Linked DNA regions of Xenopus tropicalis. The protein of the gene in region 1 purifies or fractionates together with the protein of each later gene. This does not show direct contact. Links are inferred from orthologs where the notes say so. Each region holds a gene or a part of one and is shown in the gene's direction. Other genes may lie near its edges.

Region 1 (6,130 bases):
GGGCAGGGAGGGGAGAGGGGCACAGGCTGGGCAGGGAGGGGAGGGGGGCACAGGCTGGGCAGGGAGGGGAGGGGGGCACAGGCTGGGCAGGGAGGGGAGGGGGGCACAGGCTGGGCAGGGAGGGGAGGGGGGCACAGGCTGGGCAGGGAGGGGAGGGGGGCACAGGCTGGGCAGGGGAGGGGAGGGGGCACAGGCTGGGCAGGGAGGGGAGAGGGGCACAGGCTGGGCAGGGAGGGGAGGCGCCAGTCTCAGTTGTTCCAATAACAGTGACATTGTGTGAGATGATTGTGGCGTAATGCGAAATCCATGGCAGGCAGCGGTGGGAGGGGAGTGGGCACAGGCCGACACTGATACCCAGGTAGCAACAGCGTCAGAATGTAAATGTACCCACAGTGGCACCAACACACACACACACACACACAGTGACACACACACACACACTGATACACACACACACACACACTGACACACACACACTGACACACACACACACACACTGACACACACACACACACACACACAGTGACACACACACACACACACACTGATACACACACACACACACACACACTGATATACACACACACACACACACTGACACACACACACACTGATATACACACACACACACACACACACACACACTGACAGACACACACACACACACTGACACACACACACACACACACACTGACACACACTGACACACACACTGACACACACACACACACACACACACACACTGATACACACACAGTGACACACACACACTGATACACACACACACACACACACTGATACACACACACTGATATACACACACACACACACACACTGACACACACACACACTGACACACACACACACACACTGACACACACACACTGACACACACACACACACACACACTGACACACACACACTGACACACACACTGATATACACACACACACACTGACAGACACACACACACACACACTGATACACACACACTGATACACACACACACACACACACACTGACACACACACACACACTGACACACACACACACACTGACACACACACACACACACACTGATATACACACACACACTGACACACACACACACACACACTGATACACACACAGTGACACACACACACTGATACACACACACACACACACACTGATACACACACAGTGACACACACACACTGATACACACACACACACACACTGATACACACACACACACACACACTGATACACACACACACTGATACACACACACCACACACACTGATACACACACACACACACACACACTGATACACACACACACACACACACACACACACACACTGACACACACACTGGTACACACACACAAACACACACACACACACACACACTGATATACACACACACACACACACACACACAGTGACACACACACACACACACACACACACACACACACACACACACACACACACATATATATATATACACACACACACACACACTGACACACACACACACACTGATACACACACACACACACTGACACACACACACACACACACACACTGATACACACACACACACACACACACACACTGATACACACACACACACACTGATACACACACACACACTGACACACACACACACACACACACACTGATACACACACTGATACACACACACTGACACACACACTGGTACACACACACAAACACACACACACTGATATACACACACACACACACACACACACAGTGACACACACACACACACACATATATATACACACACACACACTGACACACACACACACACACTGATACACACACACACACTGATACACACACACACACACACACACACACACTGATACACACACACACACTGATACACACACACACACTGATACACACACTGACACACACACACACACACACACACTGATATACACACACAGTGACACACACTGACACACACACATTGATACACACACACTGATATACACACACAGTGACACACACACACACACATATATATATATATATACACACACACACACATATATATATACACACACACACACACTGACACACACACACACACTGATACACACACACACTGACACACACACACACTGATACACACACACACTGACACACATACACACAGAATGGCCTTTCCCTAGCAACTTTGCAATTGGTCTTCATTAAGTACTTTTTATAGTTTGTGAATTATTTCCCTTCCTCTTCAGACTCTTTGCAGCTTTCAAATGGGGGTCACTGACCCCGGCAGCCAAACCCTATTGCTCTGTGAGGCTCCAGTTTTATTGTTATTGTTACTTTTTATTCCTTATCTTTCTATTCAGCCCCTCCCCTATTCATATCCCAGTCTCTCATCCAAACCCCTCCCTGGTTGCTAAGGTAACTTGGACCCTAGCAACCAGATAGCTGCTGAAACTCCAAACTGGGGAGCTGCTGAACTGAAAATGAAAAAACTAAAAAACTACAAATAATAGAAAATGAAGACCAATTGCAAATTGTCTCAGAATGTCACTCTCTACATCATACTAAAAGCTAACTCAACCTGCAGTTGCCCCATTGCCCCAGCTGGGTACCTTGGTGCTTTTGTATCTAACTGGGCCTCCATCCAACCAACTGTTCCCTCATGTTCTTTCCATTCTGTCCCCCCAGACTTCCTTGCACTCTCGCTAGTGTCACCCCAGGAGGATGGGGAAAGAGAAGACACACATCAACATCGTGGTCATTGGCCACGTGGACTCTGGCAAGTCCACAACCACCGGCCACCTGATCTACAAGTGCGGGGGCATCGACAAAAGGACGATAGAGAAGTTTGAGAAGGAAGCGGCCGAGGTGAGCACAGTGGTCCCCTGTCTTCTTCACAACCATGCGTACCCCCAATTGTGACATCATACAGATATGTTGTATGGGGGGGGGGCAATAAAATCCATTGGTTGGCGGCATACGGAGTCTGGAGTTGGGTAGTTCTGTTCTTAATATGGCAACCAGATATCACAACTCTGGGATCATTTCCTCACTGTAGATCTCAAGTCAATATTTGCCCAACGTTGCAATATGAAGGTCCAAACTGTGATGTAAGTACCAGGGGGCAGGGCAATACACCAGGGCCTCCTGCCCCAATGGCATTGGTTGTATGAGGGGAAGGATGTCCGGTGCAAAGTCCCCCTGCCCTAATACAGGACCCCTTATCCGGAAACCCATTATCCAGAAAGTTCCGCATTATGGAAAGGCCATCTCCCATAGACTCCATTATAAGCAAATAATTCTAATTTTTAAAACTGATTCCCTTTTCTCTGTAATAATAAAACAGTACCTGTACTTGATCCCAACTAAGATATAATTACCCCTTATTGGGGCAGAACAGCCCTATTGGGTTTATTTAATGGTTAAATGATTCCCTTTTCTCTGTAATAATAAAACAGTACCTGTACTTGATCCCAACTAAGATATAATTACCCCTTATTGGAGCCCAAACAATCCTGTTGGGTTTAATTACTGTTTAAATTATTTTTTAGTAGACTTAAGGTAGGAGATCCAAATTACAGAAAGACCCCTTATCCGGAATACCCCAGGTCCCAAGCATTCTGGATAACAGATCCCATACCTGTAGTAAGCTGTAAGCCTTTAGTTATACCATTGGGACTTTCTTGGTGCAGAAATCATAAAGGACCAATCATATTTTTCGTTTTATTTGAATAACTGCACTAAATTTTGTAAAGCTAACTGCTGATGGGTTGCCGGGGGTAACCTTGAATGATCCTTGTTTCTTTCCATTGGTGAGTTTCTTGCTTGTGTAATGTGTAATGTGCAATGTATGGAACGTAGAATGGATCTGATAATGGGAGGAGAAGTCCATGACTGGGGGTGGGGAGCACAGAGGGCCCAGTGGGGACACTGATGATGTCACAATACTTTGGGGCACCCCCTCCCGGATGGAAAGAAATACATTGTGTATGCGGAGTCCATAAAAGTCTTCATTGTTCTTTTCAGGGGGTGAATTTGGGAGGTGTCTGATTCCCTTTCCAACAGTAACGCTCTATCATGAATTCCCTGGAGGCTTCTCTCAGAGCTTTGTGTTGTTCAACAGCAGGACGAGTCCCAATGATATCCGAGATCAGCTGCGAGCGGAGACCTCAGAGAGAGAGAGAGAGACTCTGCCAGGGTTTAATTATAGCTGCTGCTGCGAGCTGGCAGACTCCATTTTGTGTGCTCGTACAGAGGGCAAGCTGTCCTCTCCGCCCGAGAAATGGAGATTGTCTGGGAGATGTCCTACTGGCCTCCTTCATGTCTTACTGGCCTCCTTCATGCTGGAATGTGTCCCCTTGGCCTTAAATATTCAGGGTAAATGCACGGACTGTCAGTTGTGTGCAGCCCATGCCAGCTCCACCTTCTGTACAGGGAGAACATTGGTTAATACTATTAAAGGGGAAGCCAACCTTCAGATAGAAAAGTGCAGATGCATGTAGGCTACTGATCCTGCTGACCTGCACATACATCATGGTTTGCTTCGTACCACAGTTAATAAGGCAATAGTAATACTGTTGATGTTGCTGTTGACAGTCAGAGCTAAGTGCCACCTAGTGGAGATAGGGTTACCGCTACATTGCTTCAGTCCCAACAACCAGATGTAAGTAGAATACAGTTGCTGCTACATTGTCTCAGTAGGTCAGACTCAACTTCCCCCATTGACTAAACATTAGGTTGGTGATATTTTCATTGTCCTCCCGTTACTGTACAACTGTTATGTTTATTATATTCTATTGGTGACCGTCCTAGTCAAGCTGATGTCCACTCAAGTTTCTCATCAAAACCCATATGTAGGTGGCCACCAGAACTGTCTTAACGTTCAGGTATAAAACCGACCATAGAGAAACTGGAAGTCCAACATTTATTAAGCCTTCACGCATGTGTTCTTCTTTTCTAGATGGGGAAAGGTTCCTTCAAGTACGCTTGGGTTTTGGACAAGCTGAAGGCTGAGAGGGAGCGAGGAATCACCATTGATATCTCCCTTTGGAAGTTTGAGACAAACAAATATTACATCACCATCATTGATGCCCCCGGACATCGAGACTTCATCAAGAATATGATCACTGGAACCTCTCAGGTAAGAGAGAGATTGAGGAGGAGGAGAGGCCCTTACCAAGGTTCCAGTGGAAGGTACTCAAGTTCCACCAAATATCGTAGAGAAGGGTTTTCCCTGTTGGGGGAGGTGAGACCATCTCTGGTGCCACATTACTCACTTCTCTCCCTCTCCTCATTCCCAGGCAGACTGTGCAGTGCTGATAGTGGCAGCCGGAGTGGGTGAGTTTGAAGCTGGCATCTCCAAGAATGGACAGACCCGTGAACATGCCCTCCTGGCTTACACCCTCGGAGTCAAACAGCTCATCGTGGGAATCAATAAAATGGACTCCACCGAGCCTCCCTACAGCGAGAAACGTTATGATGAGATCGTCAAGGAGGTCAGCGCCTACATCAAGAAGATTGGCTACAACCCAGCTACAGTTCCCTTCGTACCCATTTCTGGCTGGCATGGAGATAACATGTTGGAGCCCTCTCCCAATGTAAGTGGAGTCTTGTTCATGAAGGAAGGGAATAATGAATGAATCTGCCATAGGTTTGGTTTGACTAGGTCTTAGGCCGGTGATGGTTGAGGTATGTAGAGACCATGAATGTAATGGTGGAACGTTATAGAGATAACACAACTAATAGGAGAACATACAAGTGATGTTTGGTGAGTCCAGGGACTGGAAAACCTTCATGTCATCATAACAACACAGGAACAGTCATGTTTGAGAATAGATCCATTCATAAAGTATAAGCCTTTGGTCTTATAGATCCAGAGGATCCCTCAGAAGGGAAACATTCCCTTAGAACACTCAACCTACTGCAATGAGTATGATTATATGAGTATGAATGCTCATATCCAAAGTATTTTCTCAAACGCTAATCAAGCGCTCGACTCTTTCTTGAGACTTTCTATAGTATCTGCCATATCTAGGAAAAAAATCTTTTCAGAACCTAAAGGTGGAACCTTCATTATTCTGATGTCAGAAGATTCCCCATTGTCCTCTGGATTCTTTACG
Region 2 (5,420 bases), on another chromosome or scaffold:
ATGCATTTAAAATTGCAACTGGGCCCAGGTGCTGCTTAGTTATGTCACTGTTTGGATGGTCCTAAAATAACCCAAAAATTGTGCACCTACCATTTCTGCTCTCGTTCTGGCCATTTTCTCTTCTTAAAAATCTATTTATTTAGATCAATCCATGGAATCCCCAGCCCAGGCCCAGGTTCAGTCACATATCCTGCCTGCTGGCCTCCTGGTGGGAAACTGCCCAGAAATAGTGATTTTACATAAAAACATTTCAGTAAAGATGTTTCCACATATTTCGGACAAATACAGATTTTCTGTACTCGCCAATATCGATCAACCCTGCTGGCATGTCCCATTATAGGTTGAGAACCTTGGGAAGTGTTCTATCTTTGGAGATGGCCACTTATAGTTCTGCTGCTTGCACTCCCTACACTAAGGTGGAATTATAAACATAAGCAGTATTCCTGTGAAAGGTTATTAAAAAAAAAAAAAACTTATGGATAGCTGGCCATTCAAACAGCAGCTGCAAAGCTGAAATCATAAAATAGCAACCTGGCAAATTATACCTTAATCTCTTCATATTTTTATAGGCATTCCTTGTGGCGGAATGCATAGAATTGCACTACAAGACAAATGCTGACTTGGAGTCTCAGATTTAAATTGGAGAGCATGTGAGCTCTGAGATGAGCTGTGAATCTTTATCATTCTACATCAAGGTTATCCATTTCTTTTTGTCCCTCTTTCTGTGTGTCTCGGGCTCCTGCAGACTGGGTATAATGAAAGTCCACTCTTAGGGTGAAGACACACTGGGCTACTAGTAGCAGCTACTTTTTTTTTATGACTACTAAACTCCAGAAAATACCCTGCCATAGACAATACTGAGAATTGCCTCTGCTAAAACACATGTAGAGGCAATTATCTGTAAATGATCAGCATTCTCTTTTTTAGTAGTCACGGCAAGTAGCTGCTACTAGTAGCTCTGTGTGTTCTCACCCTAAAGCTGGCCATACATGCACCGATAATATCGTATGAAACCTCGTTGAAATCCTATTGTTTCTTCCTCCACATCTGCCATTTCACCCCTGAATGTTAGTGGCGGATTGGAACGATCGCACAAAAGATCAAAAATCGCCACGTGTGTGGCCACCTTTAGACTTGTCACATATGTCTCATACTTTCTCTGACTTGGTGTTAATAGGAAACCTAATTCTCACCTCTCACATATTTCTCTGACAGTGGGCAATGATGAGCTCCGAGGAACCAATCGTTTACACCAAGCTCAGGTCATCCAGTGGGTCAGCTTCTCAGACAGTCACATTGTCCCTCCGGCCAGCGCATGGGTCTTTCCCACTCTGGGGATCATGCAATACAATAAGCAGGTAAGAAGGGTTCATTATTCTGCTTTATTTTCTTTGGTTAACTACACACTGCTGCGTGCTTATCTGCTAAATTATTTATTCATCTAACAATGGCCTTTCCTTTTCTACTTTGTGCTGCGTCGAGATGAATTATGAAATACTTTGCTTTACAAATACTTCAAGCACCCATAATGTTTGGGGTCAGTAGGACCCTTTAGGGTGACCAGATTGCTTGAAAATTCAGGGACGTGTAATGAAGAGAAAAAATAAATCCAGCTAGCAGGGCTGAACTGATTTGAAATACAATTCCTGCGACATGTACTAGATGTGTCCTTGAATTTTCAAGTGATTGGGTCACCCTACTTTTTGCCGCAGCCATAGCTTTAGATGAAGTAAACACGAGGCAGTTGTCAGAGATGGATGAACTGCCTGATCCAAGATCGATATGGGTTTAACAAGATTTAACTGTTTTAAATTGAAAGATTACCTTAAAAAGTGTGTGTATATCTCTGCCCCACCCTTATTTAGTGAATGTTATGGTTATATGTATCTTTCGGTTTATTGAATGGTGTGAAGTGATCTGTGCAGTTAGCTGGAAAATAGCAGCTTGCTTAAGGGCTGTGACACACGGGTAGATAAGTCACGGGTGACAAAACTCCCCAAAATGCCATCCCACCGGCTAGAATGTAAATCGTCGGTGGGATGGCATATGCGGCGGTGTGATTTGCGGAAGTTGCCAGAGTTTCCTCTCAAGGCGACTTCTGCGAATCACGCTTGATGCTTATGCCATCCCACCGGCGATTTACATTCTAGCCGGTGGGATGGCATTTTGGGGAGGTTTTCTGTGCAGCGACTAATCTCTCTGTGTCACAACCCTAACTAATTCCCCCTGGTTGGCATAATGGCGGATTCTAGTCTTCCTGGCTACTTTTTAGTACACGACTGTTTGTTATCTCAACAACCCTCTTGGATAGGGTTTTTTTTGTTAGAAGGTAGTAAGCCTCAGAAGCAAAAATAATTGAAGATTGAAGAAAATAATAGACCATTTTACCTCAATTTCTGTCCTTTTAAAACTGGCCATTTGGGATTATGGCTCTTTCTGTATATTTCTAGGCCACAGAACAAGCCAAGGAGGAGATAAAGGCTGTGCTGGGTGTTTTAGATTCTCATCTGAAGACACGGACATTCCTAGTGGGCGAGAGGGTCACGCTGGCTGATATAGCAGTTACTTGCTCTCTTCTGTGGCTCTATAAGCAGGTCTGACACTTTAATTTTTATCTGTTTCTCCTTTGTCTTTTATTCCTCCTAACTGTATTCCTGTTGTGAATTTGTAGCCTCCTTTAGCCATATACTTCACTATATTACTGTTTATAATAAAGATCCATTATACCTGTTCTGGTATACCAGTTCTTCATCATTTATTGGATTTCCCACACTCAGAATACATAAACACTGAAGTTTTTTTTTTTTTAATTTTTTTTCTATTCTAACTTTCTGTATAATAATCCTCGCCATTTACCCCATTTCATGTATCTACATCCCCATATTTTCACACTCATTTCTGTCAGCCTTTGTAGCACTTCTTTTTAGTGTCCATATATTAATTTCTATTTATCCATAGGTCCTGGAACCATCCTTCCGCCAGCCATTTGGTAATGTTACAAGGTGGTTTGTGACCTGTGTGAATCAGCCAGAATTCCGTGCTGTGTTGGGAGAAGTCAAGCTTTGTGACAAGATGGCACAGTTTGATGGTGAGCCTGAACATCCTATAAAATTCTCTTTTCTATCCCATTACCCTATTACCCTGTGCCTACACAGCAGCTTTGTTTCTGAAACACTGGTATAGTTTATATAAACAAACACACAACTTTTACCTGTGCAGAACAGTGTTTTTGAATTACTTTAAGAAATAATTTTTTTGGTGTTACTGGTCCTGCAAGGCAGGTTTGGTCTGTTTTGCGCTAAATCATTCTTGTACTGAGTAGCTCTTATGGTCAGCAAAACCGATTAATTTGATTTAGAGCTCAACTATAAACAAATTGTCTGGGCTGTATATAGGGCCAGGGTCTTTGTATTTATGAATACTTCCAGGATTGGAATGAACAGTATTCTGTATAAAGCATCATCTTCAGAATGTCATTTTTATAAACAAAATGTAGCGCAGTCTGTAACGGGGCTAAATATATACAAGCCATTTTTACAGGTGGTGGTCTACTTTTGATAGGGATGTTAGGTTAACTTATTGTATTTGCTATGTAAAATAATTTTTAGCAAAATGGCAATTCAAACTATTTCACATTGTATGGTGGTGTTTCTGCCAGGCTGAGAGTGTTATTTTTAATTTTCTGTAGCTAAGAAGTTTGCCGAGATGCAGCCCAAGAAAGAAACTCCCAAGAAAGAGAAGCCAGCAAAGGAGCCAAAAAAAGAAAAGGAGGAAAAGAAGAAGGCAACACCAGCTCCTGCTCCTGCCCCAGCCCCTGAGGATGATATGGATGAATCTGAAAAGGCTTTAGCAGCAGAGCCTAAATCAAAGGACCCATACGCACATCTACCTAAAAGGTAAGATCATTGAGCAATTGATGTAATTGTTGTCATCAGACTCTACAACACTACATCCCAATCTTAAGTGACCAGTTATAATCTTTCACTGTCATAGACCTTTATCGTCTTACAAGTCTTCATTTTCCCATGCAGCTCTTTTGTAATGGATGAGTTTAAGAGAAAATACTCTAATGAAGATACCCTGGCTGTAGCTCTGCCTTATTTCTGGGAGCACTTTGACAAGGAAGGCTGGTCCATCTGGTACGCTGAATACAAATTCCCCGAGGAGCTGACACAAACCTTCATGAGCTGCAACTTAATTACAGGTAAGAGGTAAATGTATGCATACACGGTGCTGCCTTGAAAAGCACTGATACAAGTAATGGCATGTAGTTAGGCAAAGGCTGGTAGTTTTCAGGGGATTAAACAAACACTTTGATGTAAAAATGTTATAAAGACGCTAGTGCCCCTGGTCTGTAAGCAGTACTATACTTGCTAGTAGTAGTCCTTAAATAGAACTCAGTCATAAATATTTCAAGGCTTGTGCATTTGTACATCTGGCAGCTATATAATTTTATATAACCCTAATTAAAACCATTCAGTGCCTTAATGCAAGCAAACCTTTAAATGTACATTGTCACCAGTTAGATCCAACAAATAAGTCATGGGCAATGTTCTCTATAAGCTGTGCGTGCACACAAATTTTGGGGACAGTGCACACAAGATTATTGTGGTGCGCACACAGAATTTTTTGTGAGAATACAATATTCTGCATTCTTTTCTGAATACGGTAGCAGCTACTGTTGTGGCTACAGAAATAGACAATGCTGATCATTGACTGATAATTGCCTCTACATGTGTGTTAGCAGAGTCAGTTCTCAGGATTGTCTATGGCAGGGTATTTTCTGGTGTTTAGCAGCCGTGAAAAAGTAGCTGCTACTAGTAGCTCTGTGTGTCTTCACCCTAATAATTGAACCCTCTCTGCCCCCTTAAGTTGCCAGTGCCTACACATTAGTTGTGCTGCCGATGGCAAATTTCTATGGTTGGCATTCAGGTTTTTTTCAACTACAGTGGAACAGACTGTAGTCAAGTAGACAAGTGGACTAATAGTCCAAGTTAAGCATGATGATCAAACATGTGCTAATATTACAGTACTGTGACATAACTTGCTAGAAATGAGCCTGATTACTCCTATGTGGATAAGCTAGTGATCATGGGGAATTTAAGGCTGGCCAATCAGATTTAATGTACATTAAGTCTAACCTGCAGAACAGGTATAGAAAATTTGCTGGGGCTCACTTATCAACACTGGGCAAAGTTGCAGTAACCCATGGCAACCAAAGTTTCGCTTTCACTGTTTAATTAAGAAAAAACTTATGGGTTGCTATAGGTTTACTGTCCAGGTGCAAATTAGCCATTGTGGGGAAAATAAGTACTGTAGGGGGGATTAAACACATTCTGTGGAGGGTACTTATGCTCAGGGGTATTTATGCTTTTAACAAATCTCTTACTAGGTGTTATAGAAGAGTTTCAAAGGCCATA
Region 3 (4,925 bases), on another chromosome or scaffold:
TTCTGATATCTACTAGGAGCTGTTATCTTGCTACATCCCCATAGTTCTGCTGATCAGCTGCTGGGAGGGGGGTGATATCACCCCAACTTGCAGCTCAGCAGTAAAGTCCATGTGAAATTTCAAAATGAAATATAACAAAATCTGTTTGTGTTTTTGAAAAACAGATTTCAATGCAGACTTCAGCTGGAGAAGCACTATTAACAGGTGCATTTTGAAAAAACATGTTTTGCCATGACAGTATTCCTTTAAAGGAAATACTGACAGTTTGTCAGCAGTGGGTAGCTTTTTGGTTATCTTCAAGTCCAAAGGACCTGGTCAAAAGATGCAAGTCCCTGCTAGTCACATTCTGGAGCTACAGTGACAGTCTTTTGGAAACCATCCCAGTTGACTATTGTACTGTATGGCAAAGCTGCCTTGTGATACACACTGACAGTGCCACCATGGCAGTGTATTAGATTCACCAGCAAGGAATAAAGAGACATCTTGCTTTGTAGGAGGCAGAGAGCATGTGAATGTGGTGATGAGAGTGTATCTATTATAGGTGCAGAATGTGGATGTCACCTTTATAGATGTAGACTCTGGACTTATGCAAATGGTCTTTCCACAATGAGTTGATACCCAGAGATAGGGCCATATTGCAAACCCCAAAGTCCCTGTATTTTACATGTGAACAAGGGTCTGTTTTTCTGCTGTCATCCTGTTGAACTGGCCCAACCTTCTGTCTCGGGGTCCAGTCCTCCTTCAGGACTTAACCAGTGTATTTTGACACATTGATCTTCAGTCCACCTGAGAGGAGCAATAATTTTCATTAATTATCTGTGCTGTGTTCTTATGGATTTCTGCCTCCCACCTCTACAACAGCGTTTGGAGAACTTATCTGAAGATTGATTTGGGATCCAAAATTGAGTGCTGAAAACTGTAAAACGTTGTTTCCATATTTTCCTCAATTTGACAGATTTTCCTCAAAATTCTTCCCTAACCCCCCCACCCCCCAACAAAAAAAACCCCAGGTCTCTTCATATTTTGCATCCTGTTAGAGCACTAAAGATTTACACTAGCAAGTCTTAAGAGTTTCACTGTTCTGACTCCCTTTATGGTTTTTACCTTATGTCTGGTAGCTCCCTTACAGTCTGTTGCCCACCAGTATCTCCAGAAGGGACAGGAGAGCCTGCCCTGGGCCTAAGCCTAGGTTGGGTACCCAAGGGCCATGTAAGATATACAGGACCCCTTAAACGTCTCCCAATGCTCATTGCAGATTTAAATCTTCAATATCTTTTGTTTTGAAAGCCTGGGCTGCAAAGTTCTGTCAGGTGTGGTTTCCTAAGCAGCCTTATATTTTGTGGGCCCTTGTTACTTTGGAGCATTTGGTATGTCACAGTGGGAAAGCTGAGAGGGGTAAGACCATTGGATTTAGAAAGCGATTAACTTTGCCCACATGTAGTAACACAAAGCAACCAATCAGATTAGACAATCAGAAAGTTTAAAGTATGACCATTTATTACCCCTTATATATTTTTACTTTTGGGTAACCAGTGCAAAAAATTTTTTTTTTTTTCTTCTGATTGGCTCATAGGAAATAATAATATCCAGATTGCTGGAAGTTATGTGTGTTTCAGAATTATATTCAGAAAGAAGAAGAATGCCTTTCATCTGGTGCAGGCAAATTTACAAGTATGCCAAGGCTCTGCTGTATAGGCAAAACCAGACAGATAGTGCTTAATCCATAACTGGTCAATATAGTGTTCCTAATATTTCCTTTATGTGGGGAAAAAAGGACAAAACAGAACTTTAGAAAAAGTTTCTATGCTATATGCTGGTTATATGCTAAAAAACTGAGTGAGGTTTTATAAGTTAAAAAGTTAAATATACCCATTTGTCGGGTGGAAAAAAATATTATGCTTTGTGTTCTAGGTTTCGTTCAATGTCAAGATGCTGACACCGTTTCTGTGGTTACTGCTTACACTTCATTCATCACGGTCCTCTCTTCCTCACGCTCTCTGGTTACTCTGAAGGCTCAGGATCCTGCTCCAGCCGGAAGCGCTGTTAATACTGCATCAGATAAAGCTACTGTGTATGTGGTGCTCAAGGTAAACCTATTACTTATAGAATATGTATGTATAACTTTCTTTATAAAGCACCACATGGGTACGCAGTGCTGTACAATGTTACAATATACAAAATTACACACAGGGAGGACAAGTGTTATAATAAATACAATAAATAAGTATAAATACACAGAGAATAAGTGTCATGTGGTATGAGAAACAGTAGGAGGGCCCTGTCTTGTAGAGCTTACAGACTAAGTGGTTGGGTAACATACAGGCACAAATTGAAAGGGAAGAGTGCAACTAGGTATGGGCATTTGCCATTAAGCGCAGGACTGGGCAAAATAATGTTTAAGTGCTCCAGAAGGTAACAGCTGAGTTTTTTCTCAAAGAGAGTTAGTGAGTGTTTTCTATCCTTCAGGGATAGAGTTCCAGAGGTAAGGAGCAGGAAGATAGAAAGGTTTAAGACGAGAGAGCGCAGTGGGTGTGGATGTGAAGTGAGGCTAAGCAGGTTCCCTCTTAGGAGAGAGCAGGAGGATCCTGGCAGCAGAGTTTAAGATTAATTGCAGGGGAGAGAGGTGGGAGTCTGGGAGGCCGGTTAGTAGGAAAATATAGTAGTAGTAGTAGAATATAATGTAGAATATAATGTGAAAAAGAATACTTACCAGTGGGACACCTGCATACATATAACACTGATCCATTTGCTCAGTTATTACACACACTGCGTGATTCTATAGAAAGAGGTAACCACTTTACATGACTTTCACTCTCATGTTTGTGATGCTCACATAGTTTTCTGTCTTGCACAAGCATATATTTTGCTGTCACTTAAATATAAATTCTCTTCACAGGGCCTAATAGATGTAGAGAAGGAGCTGGCCAAACTGCAAGTTAAGAAGACTGAATTGGGCAGACAGCTAGAGAAGCTGCGTGAGAGGATGGGCAGTGCAGATTACCGCAGCAAAGTGCCCGAAACAGTGCAGCAACAAGATGCAGAGCGGGTAAAACAAATTGCTACTATTTACTGATGGGTGTGCTGTGAAGGTTAAATCCATCCTAACATTATCTTTTTTTTATTTGATATATTCCTTGATTTAAAAGTTTGCCTCGCTAAAGAAGTGATTTTAGGGATATTACAAATTTTAGCGATAAAAGCAATATTGCTTTTTTTAGAATGTGTAGAAATTTTGGAGTGTGATAAATGGTGGGGGTGGGGGGGGTAGGTTTTTATTCCCACTCCATGTCTTTTAGATGTTTGATTTTCTGGATTTTTTTTCTTTCTCTTTTCCTCCGTGTCTTTTTATTTGATTTATTTCCGGATCCCTATTCCAGATCAGACAGACTGAGACAGAGTTCAAGAAGGTGAATGAGGCTGCAGAGAACTTTCAGAAAATGGTGTAGGGCTTTCATTGGCACCTTGGACCCTTTCATTCACCTCATTGCTGCTTTAAGGAGATGTATTTTTAAATGTGGCTGGTCTTGCAACCCGATATAATAAAAGACAGTGGAAACAAGGTGTGGTGTGATATTATTGTGGGCATCAGAGGAAAGACACAATGGAAAGCTAAATACATGGAATTTGCAATAATTACACAGGAATTGGGGAAGAAAGAATAAGAAGGGATTAGGGGAGCTAAAGAGGAAAGAGCAATACATATGACTTAGAGGGGGACAATGTTGGGTGGAAAAAGGAGCCAATGCAGATTTGCTATAGTGTTGCCTTTCATGATTTTTTTAAACCCAGGGTATTTATCTGGGTAGGAAGCAGTTGACTGATTTTTATATTTTTTGTCAACCAATGCTGCATTGGGACTCACAGAGGGCATGGAGATTTCTCAGTTATTAGAGGGAGCTTTTTCTTTCTCACGCTCCTCCCCTGCTATGTGGTATTGTGGGGACACAAAGAACTCGTGACCTCTCTCACACACACACATTCACACAAAAGAGAGGCACGCAATGAGTAGGACAAAGGAGCACACTGGTTCATACAAAGCTGCAAAGGAACTTAGAAATGGGTGCTTTTGTGCAACTTCTATTTCCCAATGCATATACATGGCTAGTTTACTACTGTACATCCTTAATATTAAGTCGGTGATTGCCTTTAACATTGGAAAAAGTTACCCTGTCTATCTTCACTTCCCATTTATGTCATTTCTGCTTTTATCATAAACCAATGAGTAAAACCACATATTAAGTAGCTGTACTTCCCAATAGAAACACCTCATTTAGCGTGTGTAGCCCTTTAAGAGTGGAGGGTGGATCTCGCAGTTGTTTTGACTGATAACAATGAGAAGTGGTTATTGGGGGGGAGATAAGCCGTGTAAGGAGACGCCGTCCCTTTAGGAAACGCGGAGAACTGCCGGTGCAGATGGGCAGGGGGTAATGTGTAAGATTCGCTCCCTTGTCTGGCAGATAAGTGGTTAATATGGGGAAATGTGAATTGAAAGGTATATCTTGCAAAGTGTATGAATGATTAAAGAGTGTGAAAAAATTGTTTTGTGTAATCTGTGTGACTGCAAGCTGTATGTGCATGTTCCTTTGTGTAACAAATAGGAGCAAATTGCCTAATTCTTGTAACATAATTTAAGAAGAGCTTAGGTTTGTTCCAACAATATCACTATAGATATGTGCCTGTTTCTAGGTAATATCATAATCAACTGTATGGTATATATGTTTGTATGTGTAAGGGACAGTTATTAACATGCATACTGCATTTCTGAATTACAGTGCTTGGACTGGCAGTAATTATAGGTAGCACTTGCTGAATTGCTACTTGGTTTTGTACTAACGGCAGGACAGGTGTCAGTGCAGTGGCCTTTCTGTGTAATATATTAGTTAGTTATGCCTTTAATATGGTAACTATACATGGTACTTGTGTAA
Region 4 (6,078 bases), on another chromosome or scaffold:
GTCATTTCAGAGCATTGTGCTAGATCCTGTGCTTTTAGAAAGTGCCAGCACTTCAGAATGCAACTGCTTTTAGATTAGCGATTTTTTTCTCCTACTCAGGACTTCAGTTTTAAACTATTAAGTGCTACGCTCATATCTACCAGGTGTCAGGGAGCTGTTATCTTGTTACCTTCCCATTATTTTGCTTTTATGCTGCTGTAAGGGATAGGTATGGGGTGACCACTCCAACTTGCACTGCCACTATAAAGAGTGACTGAAGTCTATCAGAGAACAAGTCACATGGTTGTGGGCACCTGGGAAACTAAGAAGATGTCTAGCCCACATCATATTTAAATTAAATATGAAAAAAAAATATATGTTTGCTCTTTTGAAAACTGGGTTTCAATACAGGATTTTGTTGTATGAGAGCTATATTTACAGATACACCTGTCACCCTGAAATTGTTTCCCCCACCAGTGGTGCAGGCTAATGGAGCCTGCACTCCAGTTGGGGGAAACAATAGTTTAAAAAAAAATAATAATAAATAGCCCCCACCAGCACTAGGCTGCCTGCACCAGTAGGAAGCTTTTGGTGTGGGTGGCTATGTTGGGGCACATGCAAAAGGATGAGCGAGAGCAACATCTCGCTCATTATGCACAGGTATGTGACATAAATTGCAATTCGCAATTAATGTCAGATGATAATGAGCATGTGAGGAGACTGGCTTTTTATGCACGCTATAGAACAGTGATCCCAACCAGTGGTTCATAAGAAACATGTTGCTCCCAGGGTCCTCAAAGTAAGAGCTTATTTTTGCATTTCTGGCTTGGAGGTAGGTTTTGGTTGCATAAAACCCAGTGTAAAGCCAAACAGAGCCTTCTATAGGCTGCCAATCCATATAGGGTGCAACCAAACAGCCAATTATAGCTCTTGTTTGCACCCCCAGGAACTTTTTCCATACTTGTGTTGCTCCCCAACACTTTTTCCATTTGAATGTGACTCATGGGTATAAAAGGTTGGGGATGCCTGCTATAGAACATGACAGCCTTCACCAAAAGCTCTCTCCCAGTGTGTGTGGGCTAGTGCGGCTGACACACACCAAAAAATTGTTTTTCCCAAACAGAATGCTGGCTCTATTAGCTTGCAACTGTCCTTGGGGAAACATTTTTCAGGGTGACAGGGTGCCCTTCAAGGTATGGTGTTCCAAATTCCAGACAGATCCCTTATCGGGAAAACCCCAGGTTCCAAGCATTCTGGATAACAGGTCCCATACCTGTATTATACTTTATCCCACCCCACAAAAAAAAAAAAAAAAAAATCTGCCATAGCCATTGAGCCACAAGCCAGGTCATAAAAACTAATTTTAATCAATATTACAATATTCCCTATTTGCTGAGTAACGACTTAACCAGCGCAACCAATTGCATGTGTAATTTTCGCGCAATGTGCAATAACTAAGAGGTTAGAGGATGTGCAAGGAGAGAAGCGCATTACTGAATCCCAGCAGAGCTCTGAGTAAAGACGCGCACCCATGCACAGACTATGGAACGCTGTAGCCCGCGGGTTTGCTAGTATAGGAAGGGATGGAGTCTGGAAATCTTTAGCGAATAATAGAAGAGTCCAAGTCCTACCGAACTAAACTACATCTGTCAAGGGCACAAGAGTGACCTACTACCTTGCTAGACACACAGCCAACACCATTACACCGTAACGCAGGGTTACCGCATCGGTTATGCAAAACATTACAAAGAATTGCCATTTCCAAACCACTCACCCCACCGACTCCCCTAAACAGCTCTGGGAATATTTGGCCTTCTAGACCAGAACAGCCCTGGCCGGCACCCTTGACCAATATGGCGGATTTAAGCAACCTCCGGAACAAGCCACGGAAGATGGTAAGAATTATACGTAACTGAGAAAGCTTCGGTAACTTCCGCACAGGCAAAGACTAGAGATCGACAAAGTCCGGCAAAAATGACGAACGAGACTCGGAGAAACTTCGTTTCCGAAATGTTGCGAACGCAACATCGTTAGTCTTCGGCACAGGCAGTTTCCGGATCGACTTAACATCGGCTATCTCCGTGATAAGCGGCAACACATGCAATCCCAAATATTTCTGCAGTCGGAAAACGAAGATATGGTCTCCAGTAAGTAATACTTTGCCGAAAGGGTGCGGATAAAAAAAAATATAAACTTGAAATGATGTACATGTTACATAGTGAGTCTTTAAGGAAGGCTTAGCCCGCCCCTCGTAGCCCCGCCCCCTGTCTATAAAAGGCATCTACCCGGCCTGCAAGTTCTTTTCTTTACCCGTGTGTGCTAGGCTTCTTGAGTGAATTGCTGTAATGGGTTTCGGCGATCTCAAATCCCCTGCAGGCCTTAAGGTCCTGAATGAGTTCCTGGCCGACAAGAGCTACATCGAGGGGTCAGTGTGGTAAATGCTATATTATAGTTGTGCTAATGTTCGAAAGGACAAGGAATGTGTAATATGAATGAACGTGTTGGCTTCCAACGCGTGGTCCTAGGCCGCAACCTCCTGCTGCCTGACTCCTGAATTCTTTTAGCTGCAGTGCCGTAAACGTGTCACAAAATCCCAAGTGATGTAATATGTAAAGGCTGCCTGGTTAATTGTGCCTTGTGCTTTAGTTATGTATTCTTTCTAATGTTAATAATTAAGTGTTTCTTGGAATCATTTGTAAATGTAATTTGTATTAAAAGCAGAATAGGTCTGGATTTCTACACTTTCGGCACTGCTGGCTACGACTGCTGAGCCGATGTAGCAGAAGCCAGCTGCTTAAACTGCACTATGTCAGAGAACGGAAAATTATATAAACTGTTCAGTGTAACTAAATGTGCAAATAGCCTTAAAACTTGGATAATGTTTATAGGAAACAAATGTTTGGACACTATTTATACAGTTTTTTCTACTGTACTATATTATGTTTAGTGGTTATGCTGCTAATTGTATATTTACCCCCACCCTTTTCAGATATGTCCCTTCCCAGGCTGATGTTGCAGTATTTGATGCCCTCTCTGGTGCGCCCCCTGCTGACCTTTTCCATGCTCTGCGTTGGTACAACCACATCAAGTCTTATGAAAAGCAGAAAAGTAGGTAAGCAGTATGATAAAGTATAGCTATTGCTTTCACAGCAGTGATTGATAAAGGAGCATGGTTGAAAAAATATGATACTGTGCTGAATACAATATTCTTTGTTTTAGGTTGAGCTGTTCTACAGCACTTTGAAGCACGTTCACTACTATACTTATCTAATCTGAATCAGATTTTTTTTTTTTTTAATTCGGTTTATTGGTTAACATCCAGCTGAAAAATCACTGCCTATGGCTGTAGTGCTCATGCAGCCAGAAAGTGGCTGCAACATACATAAGCTTTGATAGTACTGTTGGCCTGCTGTAGAATGTAAATGGGCACAATTCTAATTAACATGGATCATGAATGTGTATCATTTTTGTGGTCTATGAAGTATTTTAAAGGAGTTGTTCACCCTTATGTTAAATTTTAGTATACTGTACAATTTTGAGACAACTTTTTTTTTTTTTTTATTTTGGTGTTTGAATGATTGTTTTTTTGTTAAACCGCTGTCCAGTTTCACATATCTGGTTGCTAGGGTCCAATTTAACCTAGGCAACTAGCCAGTAGTTTGAAAGATGGAAAATTCAATATAGGAGGCCCTAAATAGAAAGATAAGTACAAAAAAAAACAGCTTCACAGAGCAACAGATTTTTGGATTCTGAGGTCAGTGACCACCCCCCCTCATTTGAAATCTGGAAAGAGTCTGAAGAAAAAAGGCAAAAAAACTATACACCATAAAAATGAAAACCAACTGAAAAGTTGCTAAGAATAGGCTGTTCTATAACATACTAAATGTTAACCTGAAGTGTTCTCTTTGACAGTAGGACAGAATTGCATTCTCTTGGCTTAATTGATGCTAGCTGAGCACACAGAATGCCCAGTCAGACATGCAGAGGAGCCTCGTCAAATAGTAGCGTGGCTACCCATATTTGGGCCAGCTTGCAGTCATTTGCAGTTAAGATGTCAGTATTGTAATTTGTTCTCTATTGTAATTTGTTCTCTAAAGTTGTATGTAATTCTAGATAACTGTATATTCCTTGTGACTCACCTCTAAGCAGCTGCTAATGCAAATAGCCTAGAAGTATATTTCTCCTTTGTAAAGTAGTTTTTTTTTTTTTTTTTTTTTTTTTTTTTTCCTAGCCTGCCTGGTGTGAAGAAGCCTCTGGGAAACTATGGCCCTGTTAACATAGAAGATACTACAGGCAGTACAGCAAAAGATACCAAGGAAGAGGATGATGATGATGACATTGACTTGTTTGGTTCAGATGATGAAGAGGTGGGATGTGTAACAATCTTTAGATGTAATAAAATTAGACCTAAGAAGCATAAGGTGCAGAATAAATTACACTGGCTGTACAGCTGTGTCCATAATTTTTTTTTTTTTTTTTTTAACATGCTGTTCTACAGACTGAAATGTAAAGAGAGTTTGCTGTGTTTCATGTAGTCTCCTTGTGGACAATGAACGTAGCAAAAATGCGTGCATGCTTTAATTGTGCTCCACTGTAACCACAAATTCATTATATTACATGCCCAAGGCACACTACTATGGCCACATACCTGAAGCAGTGTTTGCTGTTGGTTACTAAGGTTCTAAACATGTGAAGGGAGTTGTGTAAAACACAAATTTGGCTGTACTATATTCAGGCTGGTCATGTGATGAATGAGCTAAATCACCATCTTTCGGCTGATTTGTGATGCATATTGTCTTCTAAACTGACTACACCAGCCTGTTAACTTAAAAAAACAAAAAAAAAACTTGCTATTGTGCAGAATCTTAAGTTTTTCTATTTCATAGGAAAATGAAGAATCAAAGAGGGTCCGCGAAGAACGCTTAGCACAGTATGAAGCAAAGAAGTCTAAAAGTAAGTGGCCTTCTCCCGAGTGTTTATTCTCCTTAAGGCATATGTTTTTAATTGTTTTGCCTTAAGAAAAGCAAAGTGCAATCACTACCTGTTTACATACTGGTCTTCAGTTCCTTTTTTTTTTTTTTTTTTTGTGGAATGGAAATACTTGCCACAGATACTGGTCTGGAGCTGTATTACTATGTGGCAGTTCCAGCATTCCTCCTGTGGCACATTAAAATGTTTTGCAGCTTTATTTCCTCTCAGTCTGGGAGGACTTGGCTGTATTTCAAACATGGTTCTGTTTTATTCTGTACCACTGTCTACAAACTATATGGTGTAAACCTTAGTGTAAAAAATGCCATATAGTATTGTTATAGTATGTTCAGCAAGGCAGTGGCTATGGTTTGTGACTTAGAAAGGTGTAACACTTGACTTTCCCACTAGAATTTTACTTGTGCTTTTATTTTGTGGGATTTTGGGGTAGTCTGAATGTGTGGCTTAAGGCTGTTAGAATGTGTATTCAGTTTATATATTACTAGTCCTTTACTTGCGGACATAATCTAATTTACACTTCTTCACAATCTTCAAATTCTCCAAAGGTGATTAAATCTTAACCAATTTGTTTCTTTAGAACCAGCACTTATTGCCAAATCATCCATTCTTCTTGATGTGAAGCCATGGGATGATGAAACGGATATGGCCAAGCTAGAAGAGTGTGTCAGAAGTATACAGATGGAAGGCTTGGTGTGGGGAGCATGTAAGTTTATATTTTGTAGGTAGTCTAAAGAATATCTTCACCTTAACTGTAATGATGATTAAAATATCACCATCTTTCGACTGATGCTAATGATGGATGTATTTTTATTCTGACTGCCTTTTATTTAAACACTGTAAAGGTATGTGTTTACTGAATGTACAAGTCTTTACATTCTGACAATATGTAGCAAGTAGACTTGATTTAAAATGCACATTTAATGGCTTTATCAACCGTCATCTGTTATCTCAATTGTTCTATTCCTTCTGCAGCAAAGCTTGTTCCTGTTGGATATGGCATTAAAAAGCTGCAGATCCAGTGTGTGGTTGAAGATGACAAAGTTGGCACAGATGTTTTAGAGGAGAACATCACTGCATTTGAAGACTTTGTGCAATCCATGGATGTTGCTG

What was found.
Region 2: the proteins of eef1a2 (region 1) and eef1g purify together in Homo sapiens (affinity purification with mass spectrometry; 4 studies listed by BioGRID and IntAct, counting the BioPlex papers as one, with this or other methods). This does not show direct contact. The link is inferred for Xenopus tropicalis from reciprocal best matches to the Homo sapiens genes EEF1A2 and EEF1G.
Region 3: the proteins of eef1a2 (region 1) and vars1 purify together in Homo sapiens (co-immunoprecipitation; 3 studies listed by BioGRID and IntAct, counting the BioPlex papers as one, with this or other methods). This does not show direct contact. The link is inferred for Xenopus tropicalis from reciprocal best matches to the Homo sapiens genes EEF1A2 and VARS1.
Region 4: the proteins of eef1a2 (region 1) and eef1b2 purify together in Homo sapiens (co-immunoprecipitation; 4 studies listed by BioGRID and IntAct, counting the BioPlex papers as one, with this or other methods). This does not show direct contact. The link is inferred for Xenopus tropicalis from reciprocal best matches to the Homo sapiens genes EEF1A2 and EEF1B2.

What each region holds. Positions count from the first base shown.
Region 1 is NC_030686.2:2,000,252-2,006,381, forward strand, and holds the start of eef1a2 (elongation factor Tu, mitochondrial), read left to right. Parts: upstream 1-2,700; 5' UTR 2,701-2,735; coding exon 2,736-2,879; intron 2,880-4,971; coding exon 4,972-5,151; intron 5,152-5,311; coding exon 5,312-5,608; intron 5,609-6,130. UniProt on the Homo sapiens protein: Translation elongation factor that catalyzes the GTP-dependent binding of aminoacyl-tRNA (aa-tRNA) to the A-site of ribosomes during the elongation phase of protein synthesis.
Region 2 is NC_030680.2:36,801,839-36,807,258, reverse strand, and holds part of eef1g (elongation factor 1-gamma), read left to right. Parts: intron 1-569; 5' UTR 570-695; intron 696-1,215; coding exon of another isoform or gene 1,216-1,340; coding exon 1,341-1,358; intron 1,359-2,450; coding exon 2,451-2,594; intron 2,595-2,958; coding exon 2,959-3,088; intron 3,089-3,688; coding exon 3,689-3,896; intron 3,897-4,031; coding exon 4,032-4,204; intron 4,205-5,420. UniProt on the Homo sapiens protein: Probably plays a role in anchoring the complex to other cellular components.
Region 3 is NC_030684.2:75,070,285-75,075,209, reverse strand, and holds the end of vars1 (valine--tRNA ligase), read left to right. Parts: intron 1-1,911; coding exon 1,912-2,087; intron 2,088-2,896; coding exon 2,897-3,046; intron 3,047-3,377; coding exon 3,378-3,446; 3' UTR 3,447-3,559; downstream 3,560-4,925. Other genes in the region: vwa7 (von Willebrand factor A domain-containing protein 7), read left to right, coding at 4,471-4,492. UniProt on the Homo sapiens protein: Catalyzes the attachment of valine to tRNA(Val).
Region 4 is NC_030685.2:50,703,170-50,709,247, forward strand, and holds the start of eef1b2 (elongation factor 1-beta), read left to right. Parts: upstream 1-2,278; 5' UTR 2,279-2,324; coding exon 2,325-2,404; intron 2,405-2,968; coding exon 2,969-3,091; intron 3,092-4,210; coding exon 4,211-4,346; intron 4,347-4,865; coding exon 4,866-4,932; intron 4,933-5,545; coding exon 5,546-5,671; intron 5,672-5,940; coding exon 5,941-6,078. UniProt on the Homo sapiens protein: Catalytic subunit of the guanine nucleotide exchange factor (GEF) (eEF1B subcomplex) of the eukaryotic elongation factor 1 complex (eEF1).